Struthio camelus: one gene and its partner. The protein of the gene in region 2 binds, or shares a complex with, the protein of the main gene of each other region. Links are inferred from orthologs where the notes say so. Each region holds a gene or a part of one and is shown on either strand. Other genes may lie near its edges.

Region 1 (10,655 bases), about 68 Mb from region 2:
TCAGACACAGACCAGGTCCCAGGTTTGTGGCCAACAGGCTGGGACACACACCGAGGATGTGACCCTCGGCTTGGTCAAGAATAAGGGCTTCAGAGACATCAAATAAAAGGTGAAGAAACAGAACTGTCTTTTTGAAGAAACTAAACTTTTACTCCTTCCTCTACTTCTTTCTGCCCAAAAACTTTACACGGCATTACTTCTTCCCTCCTTCTTTACCACCTAATTCTGTCTTTGCTACTAGGACTGGCCAGCAAGAAGCTGCCAACACCTTCAGTTCTTGCTGCAGCATAGTTTTCTCTTTGGGGTGCTTTACTACCCCATAACACTTTCCACTGTTCCCTTACCCGAAACTATGCTGAAGCAGACAACCACAAACGCATCTTGCAGAGGGGACGGGTTTAAGGGCAATACCTGTAATGCCCCTTTCTAGCTGACCAGTATCAAAAAGATTTTCTCTTCTTCACATCCTACAGGCCTTTCAGTTCTCTGAAAGTCTTCCTTCCACAGTTAAAAGACCTTCTTTGGTAAGAAGTATTCTTTTACCATATATGTTTTCTGGCACAGTCTGTAGAATCAACTAAGCGTTTTTAATGCCTTGCACTCTGCTTTATTTATCCGGCTTGATGTCGAACTACTCACCGGCTGAGTGCAAACACCTGCTTTAGCGAGGTTTTCTTCTTCAAGCGCAGAACCTGCAACGAACCACCAGTCAGCACGCAAACGTTACGACAAACATTCAGAAAGTTTTCGCTGGCGCTTCCCAGAACGCATCCTTCAAAACAACACGCGGGACCCTCTCGGAGCACTAATACACCTGCCAATGCGTCCACAGCCTCCAGCCACTGCAACTCCCCAGACCACAGCTGCAACACCGAGGAGGGGGATGAAGCGGGATGGGCGCAATAACCTTCTCGCTTTGCTTTAGGAATCCAACAGCTTGGGGTCGGCGATCCCGTACTCATCCGCCACGCCACCCCACTGCCACCAGGTTACAAAAACCCAGGCGAACAACTGCTGCGCTCGCCACTCGCTAGTGAAATAAGGGAGGGCCAGGGATCCACCAGGTCCCTGCGGGGCAGTGCCGGGGCTGGGGTGATCCCTAAGGGCTGGCGGGGAGGGGGTGTCTCCGCCCTGCTCCAGGGCAAACAAGGCACGTATGGGGGGGGGGGAACTCCACCCCCAAATGCAACCCCGAGACCCCCCACCACCACCACTGCCAGGCCTAGGTCAGGCCTGAGAGCCCAGCGCCAGCTCAGGCCTGTCCCCCCGACTCCCTAGTGTCCGAGCTGGGGCTGCTCGAGTCCAGCCCCCCCCAGGACCGGGGACGAGCCCCGGACCGGGCCCCCTCCTCAGCCCGGAGCTGGAGCCGGGCCCGGGCCCCCTCCTCATCCTGGCGCCGGGGACACGTCGGCCGCGATCCTGTTCTGCCCCGCTTCCTGAGCCAGATGGGCCCCGTTTCCCCCCCCCTCCGTGTCCCACAGCCGGTCCGGTCCGGTCCGGTCCGGTCCGGTCCGGTCCGGTCCAGTGCCCGCCCGCGCTACCTGCCGCAGCACCGCGCTCATCCTGACCCAGGGCAATGGCGGCCGCGTCCGGCGGGCAGAGCGGTCCCCCGCGCCGCCTCGGTGCACCCGGCCCGGCGCCCCCCCCGGCACCCCGCAGCCCGCGCCCCGCGTTCCGCTCCCGGCCCGGCCTCCGCCACCCCCGAAATCAGAAATAACGCGCCCCGAGGCGGCCGCTGGGCCTCGAGGGGGGGACGGGGGTGTTAGTAGGGCTTGCTGCCGAGCTGCTGCTCTTGGTGCAGTTAGTTTTGGTGAGAATACGAGGCAGGTGGGACACGCTATGGGCTACGTAACCGAGGGCGTTCAGCTTTGTTCAGCAAACGCCCTGGTGCTTACGAGGGGCCTCGGGGGGAAAAGGGGCTTCGCAACTGGCCTGGGAAGGGTTTTTTTTCAGGGTACTTGTGCTCGAGGTGGTGGCGGGGGGGATATTTTCAGCTGTGTTTGCAGTATGAAGACTTGTGGGTTACGTCATCTCTGCTAAAATAAATAGCACGTGGAGAGCGACACGGCGCTGCGCTGAGAGGATCGATGAGGTTAATTTGTGGGCTTAATTAGTGACTCTCTAGGTCAGATGGGGCCTGCGAGCTGCAACGTGCCGGGATCCACTGGTCCTGCTGTGCCTTGTGTCAGCTGGCAGGCAGGTCGGGGCATGGCCGTTTGCAAGCTGCTGTCTGGGGGGGAGGGTGCTGCTGAGGTGACCCCCACCCTGCAAGATGCCCCTTTTGGGTAACAGCACAGGAAATCTGGGCAATAACGTGCAATAACACCCAAACGTGCGATATTGCAGAAACGTGCAATAATGCAATGCTGTGCAACCTATGGACAAACAGGAGACCTTTCACCTGCAGCGTACGAGAGAGGACAGCCCTGTCACCGTCCCCTCTGCCCCACTGGAGCCACCCCCAACTGCCACTGCTGGCGCTGGCCAAAGAGCAGAACAACGTGGCAGCTCTGCACGGCGCACCCAACCCTGCGCCCAGCGCCATCCTACCCTGCTGGCTCCGCACCACCACCACCACCACCACCCCCACCCCGGTCTCGCGCTCTGATTGGCCATCCTCAACGTCCATCAAGCTGGCGGGCGGGTAGGGGGCAGCGGCCCTGCGGCACGGTGGTGCGGCCATGTTGAGTGTGGCCGGTCTGGAGCCTTCCTAGCGTGGTCAAGCGGCTAGGGCGAGCGTGGCCTGGCCAGCCCCGCCGTGGCGCGGTGTGGCGGCCATGTTGAGTGTGGCCCGGCCGCGCCCCTCCTGCGGGCGGCCATGTTAGTATGGCCAGCGGGTGCCCAGAGGGGAGGCAGCCAGTGTCCGTCTAACATGCCCGAAAACGTTTCGAGCAAAAGAGGGATGTAGGCACGACGGAGCAGCAGGAGCCTGCCTGAATTTCGGCAGGGCTTTCCTCCCGCCAGGGGAGGAGGTGGGCCAGGAGGTGCGCCTGGCGGCCCTGGGCGAAGAGGGACCGACGCCGCGCGTCCCCGTTCCCTTAGCCAGAGGCCTGATAGTCTGGGGTTGGCCTGGAAAGCAAAACAAAACAAAACATCTCTTTGCAGTCAGTCTGCTCCTCCTCCCTGTCTCTTGCACCCTCCTTCGAACTGCTTCGCTCCCTCCTCCTCCTCACTCTTCCTCCTCCTTCCTCCTTCGAGCAGGGCGCACGAGTGGAGTTTGAGCCGGGTCAGGGCCAACCCTCCCGTTCCAGCAAAGCTGGACGTCTCCTCCAGTGAACATTGAAGCCCTGGAGGAAATGGCGTGCTTGAGGAAGGACTGCTGTAACCGGAGAGGGATTAACTGCCCCTGCGTTTGTAGGGTGAGGCAGCAACGGGTATTTGGGTTATGCCCGTGAGGACTCCCCGTTTCACGACCTCACGTGCTATCGGGTCTCAGGGAGCGGGTCTGCAGCCCCCTAGTTCTCCTTAGTACCTTCGTCCCTCTCGGGGGGCTAATCTTTTGGCCGCGTATAAAACGTGGCTGAGGACAGAGCACGGCCCCGGACTGAGTTTGGAGTACTGCAAACATTGCTAAAAATATTACAAGAATTCTCCCTTCCCCCTCCTCCTTCAGTGACCATCATTGTCCTCTTAGATGTCTCAGTGAAAGAACAGTCCATCTCTATATGGCAGAGATCTCCCTGACATCTATCATAGATTCATAAATTTTAAGGCCAAAAGGGACCGTTCTGGCGTATAATTTGGCCTCCTGCACGTTGCACGCTATACGTTTCCTCCGAGCTGCAGCTGCGTGCAAACAGATCGCCCGTGCTTCGACGAAAGCGTTCCTCTCACAAAGGCTCCAGCTCTCGGCTTCCCTCTGATGCAAAGAGCGCGCTGCTCCTGGCAGCTCGTTCTGGCAACCGATCACCCTCGCTGTTAAAGACGTGGGCCTTACTTCGAAGTTGAACGTGCCCCAGCCTCAGCCGCCAGCCAGCGGTTCTCGTCGTGCCTTCCTCTGCTTGGCTAACGAACCCCTTCTCTCTCAGTCTCCGCCGCGCTGCCCAGAATAAAGCTGTCCTAGGGGACTTGTCGGGTTGCAAAGGCAAACAACAAGCTTTTGAGCACAACTTGGAATAAAACCTCCTCTGATGTACCTGCCTCCTCCTTTTCTGCCTTCTGCGGTTTCTTAGGACCGTGGGTAAGGCCTGCAGGAGTCAGCAAGACCATCTGCCTTGGCTTCACGAATTGAGCAAGGTCCCTCAATTGCTTTTATCTCGAAATCCTCATCCAGGTCTCCTGCCAGCCCCTCGGGCTGAACCCTCTTCGGGAGGCAAGGCAAAGGGTTGTCCTTTGCCCAGTGCAAAGAGACGCTGAGCCTGAGCAGAGCCCTTGGACAGATCAGCGACAAAAATAATCGTCACTAGCAGCGAAGCCTCCTCCCCGGTGGAGAGCCATCCTTTTCCCTGGGATCAGCGAGTAAGATCCCTGGCATCCCTACTGACAAACAAACAAGGACAGTTTACGTATTTAAAACGATGCTGAAACTGTTCAAACCAGCTCTGTGCCAGTCTGGGTCCCCTCTGCCCCGGGTTAGCAGGAGAGCAGCGTCACAGCGCTGCGCAGCCGGGTGCAAAGCAAAAGGAGATGTCTTGCTCGTGTCCTTATTCAAACTTCCTTGAATTTAATCACCTTATTAAAGGCACGTTTTCTCTTTCAGTTCACTGGCAGTTCAAGGCCTGGGGAACAAAAAAAAAAAACCCTTGGAGAAGCAGTTAGTCACGTTGAGGCAATATGAATGAAATGATCAAAAATAGAAAGGAGAGACCGTTTGGTCTTCCAAATACCTTCCAGTTCTGCTCCTGAATCGTGGGCTCTGGGCGAGGTTCATGTCCGAGAAGAAATCCCCGCAGCAGAGAAGTTCAATGAGCGTTTCCATGAGTCGGGCGCAGACGGAGACGCTGAACGAAGGTTTGAGGGTGACCTCCCTGCAAACAAATCCTTACTGAGAGTCTGTGCCCCCCCCTCCCCATAGCTCCCTGGACCATATACAAACCCAGGGCAGCAGGTCACGTGGAGATGGAATAACGTTAAGTTCTGCTCCGCGACGTTTTCCAAAGAGGAGGCAAAGAGTTGGCGCGTGGTGTCCCCTTGGCAGAAGAAACGCGGCGCTGAGACGCAGCTCGCGGGCCTCGGAGAGGAAGGTGGAGATGGTTCCCTGACCATCCCAGCAGAGAGGTCCTGGAGCAACCGCCCGCATGGAGAAGTGGAGGAAAACCTGGCCGAGGGGAACCTGCGAGGGAGCTGTGACGCGCTCTCGCCGTGCCGGGACTGGAGGACAAGGTGCAGCGCGTCCCACCAGGCTTGCTCCGGGCTCCCCCACCTCGTTGAGTTAGTTGAACCTCGTTGACTAGATTTGCGTCAACACCGACGCGAAGAAAACTAACAGGCGCAAGCTGCAGACCCCAAAAAGGCCGCGTGATTAAGCGTGTCCTCGTTTCAGGCAGCCAAGCTGAGATATTTGTGGGAACAGCAGGTGCCGACAACGCCAGCTGAAGCCTTGGGAAGCTCGGGGAGCGAACGCTTGTGAAAAATCACATTTTGGCATCCATATCCAAGCAACCTGAGCGAGGAGCATCGCTCCGGCCATTCGCGCTGCCCTTGCGGCCAAGCACGCGGGCACCAGTTTGGGAAGGGGGTGAAGAGGGCAACAGGCGTGAGCTCCCGTAGCCGCCAAACGTGCCCGAATCCGGGCCCCTTTCCCGGAGGCTGCTCTCCTTTCAGCTGGGTTTGTCTCCCAGGATCCAGAAACGGCAAACGTCGCGGAGAGTTTTCCTTCGTTTTCACGTGCGGCTGGTCCACGGCCCCGCGCGGGGAACGACCGACGCAGCAGCAGGGCACACAGCGCTGTCGCCGTCTGCGGTGAGCGGAGGCTGAGCTGAGCGCCGCTGTCCGGGTGAAGGGCGGGTGCGAGAAGAGGACGGGCGCAATAGGAGGATGCACGCAGGGAACGCAGACGGTCTTCGGCGCCGGACATGCTACGGACAGCGTGCACGCGCCTTCACTTTGCCCACGCTATAGCCTTCCCTGAGGGAGAGCGCTTTTAGGGGTCCCCCCTGCCTCACCTTCCCCCCTACAGGTGCCCAAGAGCTCGGGCATTTCAGCAAGCTGCCCACCTCCCCTTACCAAACCGCCCACCCACGCAGCCACCATTAGGCTCCAGCGTGAACACCCTCCCCCAGCCGAAGCGGTGGAGGGGGGGGAAGAGAGAGAGAGAGGGAGGGAGGGGACAAGCCCCGCCCCCTCCCTCGCCGCCGCGGCGCGCTGCGATTGGGCGGCCGCAGGGAGGGAGGGCGGGGCGTGCGGTGAAGGGAGGGGGGGGGCCGCGCGCGCGCGTGCGCGGGACGGGGCGGCCGGTTGCGTGAGGCGGCGGGGGGCAGGGACGGCCCTGAGGCGAGCGGAGCGACGCGACGCGACCGAACCGAACCGGCTCCGCCGCCCTGCGCCTCGCCGCGGCTCCGCGCCCGGCCCGCTCCGCCCTGCTCTGTCCGCCGCCGCCTCCTCCTCTTCCTTCACCGACGCGGGAGGAAGGAGAGGAGGAAAGGGCCAGAGAGCGGGCGCGGGTGCCGCCGCGGGGAGCGGAGCGGAGCGCGGGGCGGCGGCGGCTCCTCCATCATGTCGGCGGGCGGGGACTTCGGCAACCCGCTGCGGAAATTCAAGCTGGTTTTCCTGGGCGAGCAAAGCGGTGAGTCACCGGTCCGGTCCGGTTCGCCCCCCCCCCCCCCCCTCACCTCACACAGCCGGCGGCGGCGGGACCTCCCCCGACCCCACCGGGCCGGGCCTGAGGCGAGGCCGCCTGCCGCCGGCTCCCTCGCCTCCTCCTTGCGGGCGGCCCCGTCTTGCCGTTGCCGCCCCTTGGGGAGGCATTGAGCCCCGTTCAGCTGCCTGTGTGTTTTATTTAGTCGTTTCTCACGCTTTTCATTTGTCCGTTTGTTTTTACACCCCGGCCAGCCCCATCTCTTTGCGGCGCTTGCTGATTCATTTAGCCCGGGTTCATCCCCTTTTTGCTGGGAAAAGGGAAGATCGATCCCTGGTGTCTCCCGCTTCGATATACCGGTTTTTCTTTTTTGTTTGTTTGTTTGTTCCGTTTTTGGAAAAATGGGGTTACATCTGGGTGCGGCGGATCAAACGCTCTAAATTTTTTTAATGTAACAAACGAAATATTTCCCTTTCCCACCCTCCCTGCTGTCTTTGCTGGCAGGAGGGGGGAAAAAAACGCCCAACAAAAAACCCAAGAAATCTGGATGTCACCTTCTTTCTAAATAGAAGGCCACTGTCTGCAGTGTTGAATTCAAATCTTACTTTTTTGGGGAGTGTCTTTTTTTTTTTTCCTCCACCCTGAGAAACATTAATTTGTAGGATACGTTGTGATCCTGGTCAAATATTGAGGAATCTTTGATATTACGAAAAGGAGCAAAATATTCCCTGTCTCAGGGTGGGGTATTTGCTCCCTCAGCCACCTTTGCTCCCTGTATGGTAGGAGCTGATGAAATACTACGTGTCGTCTCCTCCTCCTCCCCCCCACCCCCGATGATTTATATAGTGATATTTCTTCACTTAAATGTAGATGAGCTTGGTGGCAAGACTGCTATTAATATGTGATTACCTGTATGTTGGTAGTTTCCGTTAGTCTGTCCCTTTTGCCCCCTTTTTTGTGTTGGAGCCGCTCCAACACAATGTTAGGGATGCAGGGAGTGCAAGTTCAACTTGGGTATTTCTTCTTGGCTAAGTCACCTGATCTATTTGGTGAGGTGCTGTTTGGCCAGCCATTTTATGAGGATTTTTGGAAAAGGGTCAGGTGTTAAAGATGCTTTTTTCTTTCTTTTTTCCCAAGTTATTATTTGGTAACATGAATCTAGAGTGTCACGTGTGCATTTGCAAAATGCTTTGCTTGCTTTCCTGCATTTTTGAGCTTTAATTTTCCGAACCTTTTAGGATGCCTCCATGGGAGGCATCTAGTGCAGATCTTAAATCTCAGCAGCTCTTAGTTTACGTGTGAATTTCTTGTCTATCTATTGTGGCAGACATATCATCTGATACCTGCTTCCTCTAATCTTGACAGCCTGCCCCCAACTAATTATCTATGGCTATACTGGAAGGTCGTAAATGATTCCCATCGAGAGCTTCAAATCTGGGGAGGAGAGAAGGGTGGATTTTTTGGGGGTATAGCTTGGCAAAATACTCCTAACTAAACGTACATAACAGTGCAGCTGTTGTGACTGTGCCTTACTGATGTGTTCAGGCTGGTGGTGAACTAGGTAGTGCTAGCAGCTGTGCGGTGGGTTTCAGACCTGCCTTTGTCTAGATCGGGGCGATCGCTCAGTGGCTGGTCCGCACCGAACTCTGTGCTAACATGGCTATGCCGATAGCAACGGAGAGCTCGGTGTGTCCGCGCAGCCTACAGGTGCTGCAGCGTAGGCATGCTCCAGCACAGCTCCCAGATGATTCTCGTATGTGCTGGAGAAACAGCTTTCTCTGAATTCGCATGGGATCTCCTCAAATATTGCTGTCTTGATGTAATTCTTTGGGGGTGTGTTTTTGTGGGTTTTTTTTTTGTTATTACTGTGCGAATAGTTACGTTACGTATGGCCCCTGAAAGAATAAATGTTCTAATAACGTTCCTCCATATAATGGAGATAATATGGAAGCATCTCGCATCCTGCAGAGGAGGTCTGGGGGGGTTTGCTTACACGTAGCTCCCTTTGTCATTCTTGTTTTTGAAGATTAAGGGAAATGTAGAAATAAAAATAGTTCTTATAGCTTTTGTAAATCAAAGATCTCTTTGTACAACTGTTGCATTGGATTACTGCCTTTACTTCCTGTTGAGCTGAAAGGTTGTCTGCCCTGCTGGAAGGCCATAATTAAAGATATCCTACTACTGCTTGTAGGGTTATAGGATGCTTCTGTTTCACTTGCTTGAGGCACTTCATAATGGCAAATGAAATGTTATAAAGGGCTACAACGCTGATTAGGTGGATCAGCAACCAAAGCCAGCTAGGATCAGACCACTTGTGTTGATTGTATACAGTGTCTTTGCTAAATGTGCGTGTTACGGTTAAGAGATTCTTACCTGGAGTTCATTTACTGCGCAGGCTTTAGCGCTTTTAGATGCAATTGTGTGATCAGAGGTGATATCCTGCTGTGAAAGATCTGGAAACGTTTCTAGACATCTCATTCTTGTAACCGTACTTGAAATTGAAATTGTGCAGTGGATGCAGCCTGTAGTTTTTGCTGGTATCCTCAGCCATGTTGTGGCAGTTCGGTGCTGTATACCCAGACATGTTTGTCTGGACTGCGGTGATTCTTCCTAGTTATGCTGTTTGTCTTTAGCTGCTGATTCTCCTATGTGATAAGCTACTGATCTCTCTTTAAAGGGAGAGAAGGGGTGGGGGGGAAAGCCCTTCTCTTCCCTTGCTCCCTGACCTCCAGAATCTTCCTGCCTCCAGTGTCTGTTACTTGCATTGTCTGTCTTTTATGCTTTTATTGCACCAGCTCCTCGGGCAGTCAGTGCCATGGAAAGAAAGCTGACACACTGCTGCAGTTCTGTTCAGCAGAGTCCTGCCAGTGCTAATCAGTCAGTGGTGTGTGTTGGCTAAATGACATAAGGTCCCTTGCAGCTTCTTTCAGGATTTACTGCAAGTCATTGCTTCTCAATAGCAATACGGTTTTTGTCCCCCATGGCCTTCCCCACCCAAACTGGATCAGCAGAGCCTTGGATACCTGCCGCATGTACTGTGGTTTCATCACCAGCCTGCAATGTAAGCCGTGTCCAGCTGAAAAGAAGCTTCTCTTTCTAGCTCTTTTTTTCCTTACTTGCAGCACAAGGATATAGCATTGGGTGACTAGCAAGAAGGAAACTTAGCCAGTGCTTGTCTTAATTGAATTACTTTTCTCAATGACTAGAGATTATGCAGAGTTTAATAGTTTTTAGTATGTTAATCTTGACTGAAAAGACAGAGCTCTGTGCTGAGGGATTAGAGAAAACTACTATTAAAAAAAATATATGCTTCTTACTGCCTTTGATCTTGTTTTGTCAGGTGACTTTCATGAGTCCTAATGCCTTAAGTAATAAATTCTGGTTTCTGGGTCACATCGGTTAGTGTATGCATCACCTCTATTAGGGTAGCTTGCAGTAAATATGCTGTATACCCTCAAAATATTTAGTAACATCTTTAGTTTTGTCTTGTGTATGAACATCTCTTGTTCTTTATTTGCCAAATTGTGTTTGGCTGGGCCGACCTGACTGCTGGGGCGCAGTAATAGAAATATTCTTTCATCATGTGGGTTCATGCTGCAGCTTTTATTGGAGCGGAAGTCTGAAGGGCATTAATGTATACAGAAAGCAAAATAAGTTGCTGTTGTATCTTACTACAGTCATTTCTGCGTTCTGCAAGATCTGAAAATGATAACCAATTAGAGCTTTTCATCAAGAATTGATATTTTAATATTGAAAATGTTGTACTAAGTACAATATAATAGCTTGTATCATATAACTGTTTAGAAACTGCTAACGAACTGTGTTGTTACATAACAGGGTTGGTACAGGCACTGCTGAATAGTATGATGTGGCTTATTAGATAACTGGAGACCTGCAGGTGGTTTGTATGTGAGAAGCT
Region 2 (10,583 bases):
ATATAACATATCAGAAACACATTTCACATTCCTACCTGAATAATATCATCAGCCCCTCCCGTAGCTGCTTTTGATCTGAGTTCTTCAATTTCTTTCTCTAGTTCTTAAAAAGAAGTTGGATAGAAATTTCACAGCAAACATGAATCGATGGTCCATAACAGTATCAAATTATTAATACATCCAAAACACAACGCCACTCCTGTCCAAATCTGAGATGTCTTTTACATTACCGATTTTCATTTGCTACTGGGTAATACTACAAACTGTTAAGACAGAGAGAGAACAAACATTCAATACTCCTTCCCTCGTCCTGACATGATCACTTTAAACTAGAAACTGATATTCAGCTTCCACAGGTACTCTAAAAAAAGGCAGCACGTACAGGAGGAAGATCTTATGAACGACCTCACTGAAAAACAGCCTAGCGTATTCCATTCCTATCCTTATTTTTTGGCTGGGCAGTTATCACCAGTCAGCATAAATGTAACCCTAAACAAATGGAAGCGGCAAAAGTGTGGACAGGAGGACACCAGAGGAAGAGGAGCAACAGAGAAGAGGGGAACAGAGCATGACAGCACAGATATACACTGGATGCTGAATATAAAACCTTAGGAAACTACATTTTGTTAGTTCCACTGATCACAGAATACATTACTTCAACGAGGTGAGCCTTTTAGGTGGTTACCGCACAATTCCATTTGTTGCATTTTACAATTTCTCATTAAAGAAGTAAATCAAACAAATATAAAGCAGCTAGCCATTTTAAAGATGCTATTATGCTCTGCAACAGAATTAATTATGCACAGTTAATTACACAAAATGTATTAGAGATTTTGCCCCTCCTATCTGCTTCCTGAAAATGTTATCATTGCAACAGTTATGAGGAATAGATAATGACAGGTCCAACTTCAACTTGCACAGGCTCTTTATCACATCACGCTGCCTGATAAGTCAAAGTTAATTTAATACTTGACAAAAGCAATGTTTCTTTTTTTTCTTCCCCCCCCCCCACCTAAGAGCTTCAGTCTTTATCCTACCACAAAAATAGTGAAATCTCAGGGAAAAAAGAAAAGTCTAGGATATTTGCCTATAAATTAAGTCTACCTAGCAAAAGTTCGCTGTGATATTAAGCACAGTCAAGCAGTACCAAGCATTAAAGTAGAAATTATTCCCTCTTCAGTAAGGTACCTGTACACTTTGACTTCACTTTCTGTATGAGCATCACTTGCTTTTTGGCAAACTTGATGAGATCTTCTTTGGACAACGTGTCCAGCTGTAAGAAAGTACATATTTCAAAAACCAGCCTCCTCTATCCCAGAGGTAAACAGCAAATAATTTCTTGGAAATCAGATGCTAAAATGACTAAAATTTAGGGCAAGAAACTGTCCTACCCTGCATCTGCAAGGATCTAACAGTCCAATAACAGAAACTACTGCTAATTCTGTGCTTTTCCAAAAGTCTTTCAGAATATTTAATTAGGAAGCATCAGTCAGAAATGAAAATTCTGTTGGGCAGGATTGCAATACAATAGATAGATTGCGAGATACCAGAAAAAATCTGAAGCCTATAAGCAACAAAAAAAAAAAAGTAGCTAAAGTAGCTGGGTCTTTGGAGTAATATAATTTGGACAATGTTTTGCATATAGTCTGCTAATCTAACACTACTGTTTTTTGATTTACTGCCAGTATGGGCAAGGAAGTCTGGGTACATAAGGAAACAGACTATTTCCAGAACTAGGTATTATAAATATCTTATAAAACATTACCACAGGAAGTGAGTGCACTAAAAATAATTTTTGTTCCACAATTTCCAAAACAGGCTTTCCTGAGCCTAGCATTTGTAAATCAAATTTTCAAGAAGTACAGAAGACACAGAACTGTTTAAAAATACCTCTATATCTTCCTACTAGGAAGCTATAACTCTCTAAACTGCTGCTATCCAAACAAATTAAATCTGTGAAGTCAGATTACCTTTGATTTGCCTGCTCCTGGTGTGACAGGAGAAGCTACCATCTCTTGCCCAGCATCTTGTACCTACAATGAAAGAAAGCGTAGTATGTGAGAACCGAATTTTTTTGTGCAGACTACTGAAGGAAGTAACTGAAAGTCTGCATGTACTGAGAATAAGTAAACATAGTGGGAGTTCAAGAAACCTAAAACATTTGTAGGACTAGTCAGAAGGACAACGGAGGAATTTTCCTTAGAGATCTATTGCAATTAGTCCATTACAACAGCAGAACGGGAAACTCTTAATTTCTAAACCAGTATAATCCTACCACTCCACTACTTAATTTCTATTCACCGTTAATATATTCTGCAAAAATCACTTTATTTACTATGGGTTATGAAAGTGTAACTCAATATCTTGTTATTAAAAGACTTGTTTAAGATAAAGCAGGAGTGAAAAAGCTTGTACGGGATGGACAGCTAAATCAGATTTAGGAAACTTTTGAAGAAAATATAACCTTGAAACACAATTTTCTTTTAAATGCACTGGTTAGCACTAAAAGCGCATGGTAGTGGTGGCCTGGCAAAAGCATTTTAAAAGGCTCTGCAAAGCCTGGACTTTCTACTCCCAACATAAGTGTGTAATACTTTTTACTGTAAGCCTCCTCAGATCTATTCTGGGAGATCAATTTCAGAGTGGGTTTACACAGGATATGCTCACACATACTTGGAAACATAAAGAAATAAACATAATTAAGATGCAGTAAAGGAAAATAGGACAGACACTTCCAATATATTATGCATAGCATTTCCAAGCTTTGACATTCTTTTACACTATCAGACTAGATACTATACCTTGACTTTTATTTTGTTACTCTTTTTATTCAGATAAATAAAACATTGTAATAGAAACTATGGAAAAAACAAACTGGATCTAAATATTACTGGTAGGGATAATCACTGATGGACAATTCAGAGAGAAGAGCTGATAGAGATATTAAGAAAGGCCATAATTAGAAATATCAGTTCAAGCACAGACCAAGGACAAAGGTATCTCTCTGTACTACATGGGCTAGAGTTTTTGAGATAGCAAAGGCAAGCTTATTGGAAGACAGTTTGCCTGTTAAATAAATACAGAACTTAAGAAATAGCACTATAAAGGAGTTCAAAATTCAGACTTTATTGGGATGCAGAACTTTTTCAACATATAAATTCTTAATATTTGAGCACGTTATTAGTAAAACACCGCCACTACAAACAGTATGCTTACATAGGTACAAATTGTCTGTACTGTTTAAAAATAATAATAGCACACATCTGTTCATGTTACAATAAAGAACGACAGACCTACATGTTGCTTTTACTCTTCTTTAGGCTGACATGCACAAAGGCTGAACTTCATATCATGCAAGGAGGTGCACCCAGTTTTGCTGTTCTGGTAGAAGGTACCACAAGCAGCTCATGTAGAGGGCTTTACTTGTTTTAATTAAAAGAATGCTGAGAAAGATGGTAATCAAAAACCTTAAACTTGATGAATTAGGTGCATCCGAGCTGTAAGCCCACAGACATAATACTTTTAAGTACAACGCTGAAAATAATCTTGTAAGGATTCCCAAGTTTCTACTCTATCACTCTGAAAATAGGGTACTGTATTTTTTTAATAATAATGTTTTAATTTTTGCTCTCTATTCCTTACTTCTGCAAGAAGTAAACACGCTATTGGAAAGCCTAAGCAGCGTAGGAATGCTATATATTAACTTTGACATAACCTCTGACAGCACTGATCATCCTGAGGAGTGACTTTTTTGAGCAGCGCGAGAGTTTTTAGATGTTACCAAATCTAAACACGTTGAATCACATCAGAACATTTTGAATTCCGATCGCTTCGGAAAACAGGAGCGTAATTAGAAAGTGCCGAGCTGAGCACCTACAGGGAGTTAATGCCATATGTGAAATTTCAGTTCTTCAAGACTGCCTTTGGATTCACCTTGGTGGTTTTGAAAGATACACAGTAGATACATGCACTTCAGCGATTTCATTTGCCTACGTCGGCAAGGGTTTCACAGTTAAACCACAGCGAAAGCACTAGGCCATCCTCACAAGGAAAGAAAGCCTATTCATTCACGCTGTTTTTAAAGAAAGAGGTGTCACCACGCAAGGCATTCATCGCATCGCATCTGAATGCTCCTTCCCCCCTCGGCTCAACACTGCTTGCTCTCCCCCAGTCTGTGCAACCAGGAGGACACCTCCACCTTCCAGCAGGAAGCACTAAGCAGCTCCGGCAGCCCAACCCGGAGGGCTCCCAGGCGGAGGCCCACCCACTCCCGCAAGGTAGGAGCCCCAGCACCGCGGCGCGGCCCGCTGCCTACCCCTCCCCCTCGCCGCCGCGGGGGCTGCCCCACAGCCACAACCCCCGGGGCCCTGAAACCTCGGCGCCTGCGGAGACCCCCCGGGCCGCCCTGCCGGCCACGCCGCCCTTGGAGAGCGTCAGGCGGCCGCCACCGAGGCGAGCGGCGCGGCGCGGCCCGTCCCCCCGGCCCGGGCGCTGGGGAAGGGGGAGGGGGGGCTGCGCGCCAACGGCCGCCGGCGCCGCGCCGGGGGAGGGGGCTGCGCACGGGGCCGCGCCTGGCGGCGGGGGCGCGCGCGGGGAAGGGTGGGGGGGGGGGGAAACCGCCGCAGGGCGGGGGGTGGGAGGGGGAGCGGGGCTCGCGCGCGCCTGCCCCCTCCCCCCGCTCCGTGGCCCAAGGTCACGCGACCCCCAACGGTTCCTCCCAACGGCTCTCCTTGCCTCCCCCCCTCCCCCCGCCCCGTTACCTCCATGGCGGAGCCGGCTCGCTGCAGCCGTTGTCAGCGCCGCTGCCTCTCCCCCGCCCCTTGCCGTCTCCGCTTCCGCCTTCGTCACCGCCCCACACCTCTGACGTAGCGCTAACCCCACTCCCCCGTACCGTCCGCGAGCGGGCCGCGGCCCCGCCCCGCCGTGCCCCTGCCCCACGCGGCGCGGGCACCCCGGGGGCTGCCGCAGAGGGGGCGGCCGGCACTGCCGGGTGGGGGGGTGGCGCGGAGCTCCGCGCCTTGGCCTGTGCCACCCGCCCCCCGCCCCCCCGGCCGCCGCCGCCGGGCAGGTGGGGGGGGCGCCTGAGGCCGCCTGCCGGGGGGGCGGTTGCGGGTGGAGCGGGTGCAGTGGGAGGCGGCGGGTTTGGCAGCGCTGTGGTGCGGGTGGTGGTCTGGAGACCTAAGAAGGAGCCGCTGCGGGAAAGGGTGTGTGCCGAGAGCTTCGCTTTTCCCACGGAGGAGGTGGAAAGAAACTTGAGGACGGACCACCACCAGCAAAAAAGCAAATAAATAAAAAAGCACTGGATACACCATCTGTGTCAGCCCACTCGCTGCCAAATAGTGCCTACCGTGTTTTCCCCTGTTTTCCCCCTTGCCCTCCCTCAGTGGTATTTTTATGACGGAAAGGTTTAATACTGTCATTAAAAGCAAGCTCACTAGACCGGGCCTGGTCGTGAAGCGGCAGCTGCACAGCAGCACGCGACGCTGAAACTACAGCTCCTAATTTGTTCAAACGCAGGCTGCGCGCAGACGTCAGGTATAACACAGCCCTCTGAAGCAAACGTTTTATGACAGATCTTCTGATACGGCAAGGCCGCTATCAGCAGCAAAAGCAACCTGAAAGCTGGCTTACACTGTCCCTTGAGAGCGGCCCCCGTTTACAGGAAAACCTGGGGGAGGCGCGCGCCGCGTCGGTTGCCGCGTTAAGAAAAACGGCCGGAGGAAAGGGGTACGGCCGCTGCGCCCTTGCGCTTCGTCGTTGCCCACCGCTGAAGGGCTCCTTTGGGAGACGGGCTGCCGCCAGGGCACGCGGGGGGGGGGGGGGGGACCCTTGCTGGTCCCCTAAGGAGAACAGGTGGTTAGCGACGATGTGCTCAGAGAGCTACTTCAGGATTTCAGGGCCCGGTTTTTCATATCCTGATGAAAGCCCAAAGCGATCAGGTGATTTATCAAGAGTCGTATATGAAAGACTCGTTGCCAGAGCGAACGGCTTCTGCCGGGCATTACGGCTTGCAATTCTGTTTCGTCGTTAGGGTGGGTTTTTTTTTGGCCATGACACATCACGGAGGTGAATGAGGGGAGCGATACCTACTGGTATTTTTAAAATACACGTCCTTTTTATTTTACTTTTTATTGTAATCATGCATGCACTTCAACAGTGCTTGAAGGATTTCTGGCATTTTATGATAAGTAATTGATTTTTAATGAGAACTTGCTTGGGAGAAACAATTCAGGCATATTATTCAGGCATATTTACAATTCACCACATCAGTATTGAATATCGCCGAATTAATTATAGTGTCATGAGAGATTATCTATTGTTTTAATGAAAAAAGGGCCATGTTAGTCAAAATGCTGCCCTGATAAGGAAGGAATAATTTGCATTTTTTCAAGTCTCCTTACTGTCATTCTTGTTTTAAAATTCGAATGACAGATAGTGACAAAAAGCAGAAAGGTTGTTCACATAACCTTAGAAATTGAATTCCTTATCTTTTTTCCCCAACACATTCACCATATATTGTATATATTTGTTGTACGTTATGCATGTAAACAATTGCAGCAGCATATGACCCCATGCCCTCACAGAGTTTGTTGGCGAGAGATAGTTCTTGATAATCAAACCCCGAGAAGCTGCATTTTCCGGATTTCTTTTCTTATATTCTAGAGCACTAGATGAACTAGAAACTTTCTTTCCCCATCCTCTTTGGGACACTCTGAACTGGGCACCTAGGACTGTGCTGCCATGGTCTAACATGGGACTTTCAAATGGCTTCAGGAAGAACCTTTCTACATAAAAGGCCTTCCAAAACCTTCTTGTGACAATAGCTTTGGCCCTAAACTATGCTGTACTGCACTGCTTTGTCCTTCGAGCTCAGCCTCTGATTGAAGCTGGGTGTCTGGAGAGAACATTATAGGATAGCTTACTTTCTTTTTGGAAAAACCCAGAGAAAGTAATGTTTCATGTAAATTTGTTTTGGCCTTCTTTCCTCAAAGATATTTATTACAATCCGACTCTTAAGTCATCACATCATTTAGCCTATGAAGAAACTGATTTCTGGAGATGCTCCAAGGCAGGTACACAGAGGTTTTTCAGATGTGTTTGTACTGCAGACAAGAACAACCAGCTCACTCAGCACAGGCTTTCTGAAACTAACTGATTCTGGCTAGAAGGCACCCAGCCCCCAACAGAGCTCCCTGCTCCTGGGAGATACGTATTTGACAGAAGACAGGCCAATCTCTGCCTCTCCTCCTCCCTCCATTTTGTGCAAGAAGGATTTGGTTATATTTTACGGATGAAATGCTTCTCACAGTCGTTCATTTTAGTCTAAAATTACAACAGCAATTGCAAAGCATCCTGATTAGGGGAAATAAAAGGTTGTTTCTAGAATAGCCAGAAGAAAAAAGATAGAAGATTTTGACTGTTGATTATTTCGATTTATTACAATAAAGTACAAGTTGATCCAGATTTCATGGGAAAAAATGTTGATTCATACTTGCAATTGTTTTACATCATTTTCTTAAGCAGATTATGAATAGTATGTCTTATCAGTCCAGAAGGAGCTAGGAAGATGATATATATTGCATGCAGCTAATTTGGGACAAGATAAATCAGAAAAAGAAGAATATATGTTCCATGTATTCTCTAATTTTATTATCTTTGTAAAAGGTAATTACTCATCTTTTTAAATAGCATTGCGTATGTAAAGCAAGGTTGCCAAGATGCATTGTGGCAGAGCATAGCAAACTTTAAATTCTGCTTTCACTGAAAGACCAAGTTCCACAAGTCTGGGATTAGTCATCCCACTGATGTGGTATACAAGTGCGTGTTCACTATCATGGCAATTATTAGACCTGCAGGAGTGTTCTGAATGGCACAGAATGAGAAAATTACTATAATTTTGCGAGCAGCAAATGCATTTTCAGCTTACAGAGCTAATACGTTAAACAATTGCAACTGTAGAATCTGACTTTCTGCCAGCTTCTGAAGATAACAAACTCTTTTGTCTGTGAACCATGCTGGGTCAGTTAGCATCCTTGCTTCAAGCAGCTTTTATGGCTTTTCTGTATGCAAAATTAGTGTAAAGGAAGGCAAAGTATGAATTTACATCATTGTGACTGTTCTTATTGACTCCCTGTTTGGAAACTTAAAATATTCTCTCTTCCCCATGAAAATGAACCTTAAATTCTTTGGCTGACTATTATCATTTTGTAGACTTGGGTTCACTAGGGTATTTCCTGTAGTGGACCTGAACAGGCTGTAGGTATAGTGAAAAATTTAAGGAGTGCAAAAGGGAGCAGAGGGTGCTAGCATGAATGTTTGTATGAGTAAGTGAGATGCAGGGGTAATACTGCCCACTGTATTTATCTGTATAGTGCTTTCTGTGTGAAGGATATGGTTATATATTAAAGAAGAAATTGTTTATACAGTCTCTAATTCTGGTCTTAAATTGCAACAGGACACTGAGGGTTAAGAAGTTTACTGCTACTTCTACTACTAATCTGCAGAGCCTACCAAGTGTATTCAAAGATTAACTTTAGCTGGGAAAAGGAAACTAGCATTTTGTTTGAGCACTTAGGGTTGGGTCTGGCTGTTAAAGACTATTCCATTGTTGACTGAACACAAAAGCACTTTTAAATCCGGTTTGCAGAAAAGGTAGCAAATATAGACCAGTGTGGGTTATCGGTACAACAAACAGGTTACTAGGAATGAAGAGGCCCAACTTTAATAAGTTTTCTAAATTCAACTGCCTTCCTTTTTAAGGGTCTAGCCTGAGATTCTGCCTGTATCTATACTGCCTCTTCCAGGGCAGGAGCCAGTCACTTGACGTTGACATAAGCTCTCTGTCTTCATGACCATCTGGTAGATGCCCATAATTCAGCTGTGAGCCCTCACACGTCACCTAACAGCAGGCTGAGCTCACACTGCTCTTAGATACCAACTGCTCTTGCAGCAGGTGATGCTGAAGCCCTTCCAGAAAATGAACCATGACTAATTTGCCTCTTCAACATTAACCATGGGACACTGCCGCATGCCAGCATTCCTGGTCCACCCACACAGTGCCTAAGCCTGCACTTGGTTTGGAGCCAGGCAGACCTTGAACAGGCTGCCTTGTTATGCAGCCAAAGCCCAGGGATTTAGGTCTGGCAGTACAGTTTGGTTGCATCCTATGAGTATGGAGCGCTTAAAGTTTCTTTCTTGGTGTGCCTCTAGCCTCACCTACAGCCCGCATTAGAACAGGGCTTGCATCACTCAGCAAGGTCACAAAGGAAATGGGAGCTTCAGTCCAGGCTTAAAATATAGTTCCACCTCTGGAATATTCCCAGATTAATAATTAACCTTGTTGTAAAGATAAGGCTCTTTCTGAACATGTTGACATAAGTCAAATCATTATATAAATCATATGTTTTGTTTATCATATACATGGATAGGACGAGTGGGAAAAAACCCTACCTTCTGTCCGTGGTCTATTTGCTGACTGGGTAAATAATAACTTTCAATCCATGCATGAGGTGGATCATCTACAGTAAAATTAGTGGAATTTAAACCAGTGTTTTTTCTGTCTTGGAATACTAAGTAAAAAGATGGAATAACCCCCTTCTCTGCCACTTTTGTTAATTTTTTTAAAGCTTGATGCTCGTTCCAGTCAGCTTCATGAAAGGTTGCACTCCATGTAGTGGTAGAATGACTCATCTAGTCCCTATAGAGAGCAGAGCTAAAGAAAGCTTGTGACTACCCTAGAATTAAGTGTTACTTATCAGCAGTTCCTGTTAAAAACCCTGTATCAAAGCAAGAATCTTCTTCCACTCCATTGAGAGGATTTGTTTTGGTAATTGTTATTGCATAGCTATAAAGCAGGCCCATGTGAATAGTTAATAGGTATTAATCGACATTGATTCTCAGACATTTGCTGGAGATGATTGAAAAGGTGTTTCAGCTATCAAAACTACTTTTTTTTACAAAGGAAGAGAGAGAGACAAACAGCATTAAAATAGCTGCTGTGGGGTTATATCAGCTGAGCTGATACAAGGCCATTTTAAACTGACATAAAAAAGTTGCACCTGTGTAAGCAAATTAATAAAATCGTGCCTCTAGGTAAGTGGATGAAAATAATGCATCAGAGTGTATTCAGCGCATATCTCTAGCTAGAGCTCTGTGCAGAGTTTTATCATCATAGTAAACACAGTCTCTTGTATGCACAGGAAACTTGACAATAGTTTAAATTGATTAGAAATACTTTAGTTAAACAAGTACAGTCTCCTTCTGCAGACGCTCATTGATTTAAAGTATCTTATGTCAAAGTAAATTACACCTCTCACAGATTTATGTTAATATTAGTAAATAATCTCTGTTATCACACGTCATTTAAAGCTCCTCTGTACATGACAACTGACAAACATAAAAGATAGGTAAGTTAAAGGCACTCTAGATGTGGGCGCCTTTCAGTCACCCAGAAGCATAGACACATCTCTGTTCATTGGCATACTGTCATAACTAGGCACCAAAGCATACTAGTCTCTAGGCCCCACTGGGGGATGCTTAAGCCTATTAACCCCTTTTCCCAAACTTTCCCAGTAACTCCCAGT

The links.
Region 1: the proteins of GCC2 (region 2) and RAB6A are in contact, whole or in part, in a crystal structure (PDB 3BBP), measured with the Homo sapiens proteins. The link is inferred for Struthio camelus from reciprocal best matches to the Homo sapiens genes GCC2 and RAB6A. Residues at the interface, in NP_852118.2 of Homo sapiens: Thr1585, Ile1588, Leu1589, Glu1591, Gln1592, Leu1595, Leu1596, Glu1599, Arg1602; in NP_942599.1 of Homo sapiens: Lys15, Ile46, Gly47, Ile48, Trp67, Arg74, Phe75, Ser77, Leu78, Ser81, Tyr82, Asp85.

What each region holds. Positions count from the first base shown.
Region 1 is NC_090942.1:223,042,498-223,053,152, reverse strand, and holds the start of RAB6A (ras-related protein Rab-6A), read left to right. Parts: upstream 1-6,366; 5' UTR 6,367-6,654; coding exon 6,655-6,724; intron 6,725-10,655. Other genes in the region: MRPL48 (large ribosomal subunit protein mL48), read right to left, coding at 640-692, 1,542-1,562. UniProt on the Homo sapiens protein: The small GTPases Rab are key regulators of intracellular membrane trafficking, from the formation of transport vesicles to their fusion with membranes.
Region 2 is NC_090942.1:155,280,428-155,291,010, reverse strand, and holds the start of GCC2 (GRIP and coiled-coil domain-containing protein 2), read right to left. Parts: upstream 4,932-10,583; 5' UTR 4,767-4,931; coding exon 4,761-4,766; intron 2,034-4,760; coding exon 1,971-2,033; intron 1,274-1,970; coding exon 1,189-1,273; intron 104-1,188; coding exon 36-103; intron 1-35. UniProt on the Homo sapiens protein: Golgin which probably tethers transport vesicles to the trans-Golgi network (TGN) and regulates vesicular transport between the endosomes and the Golgi.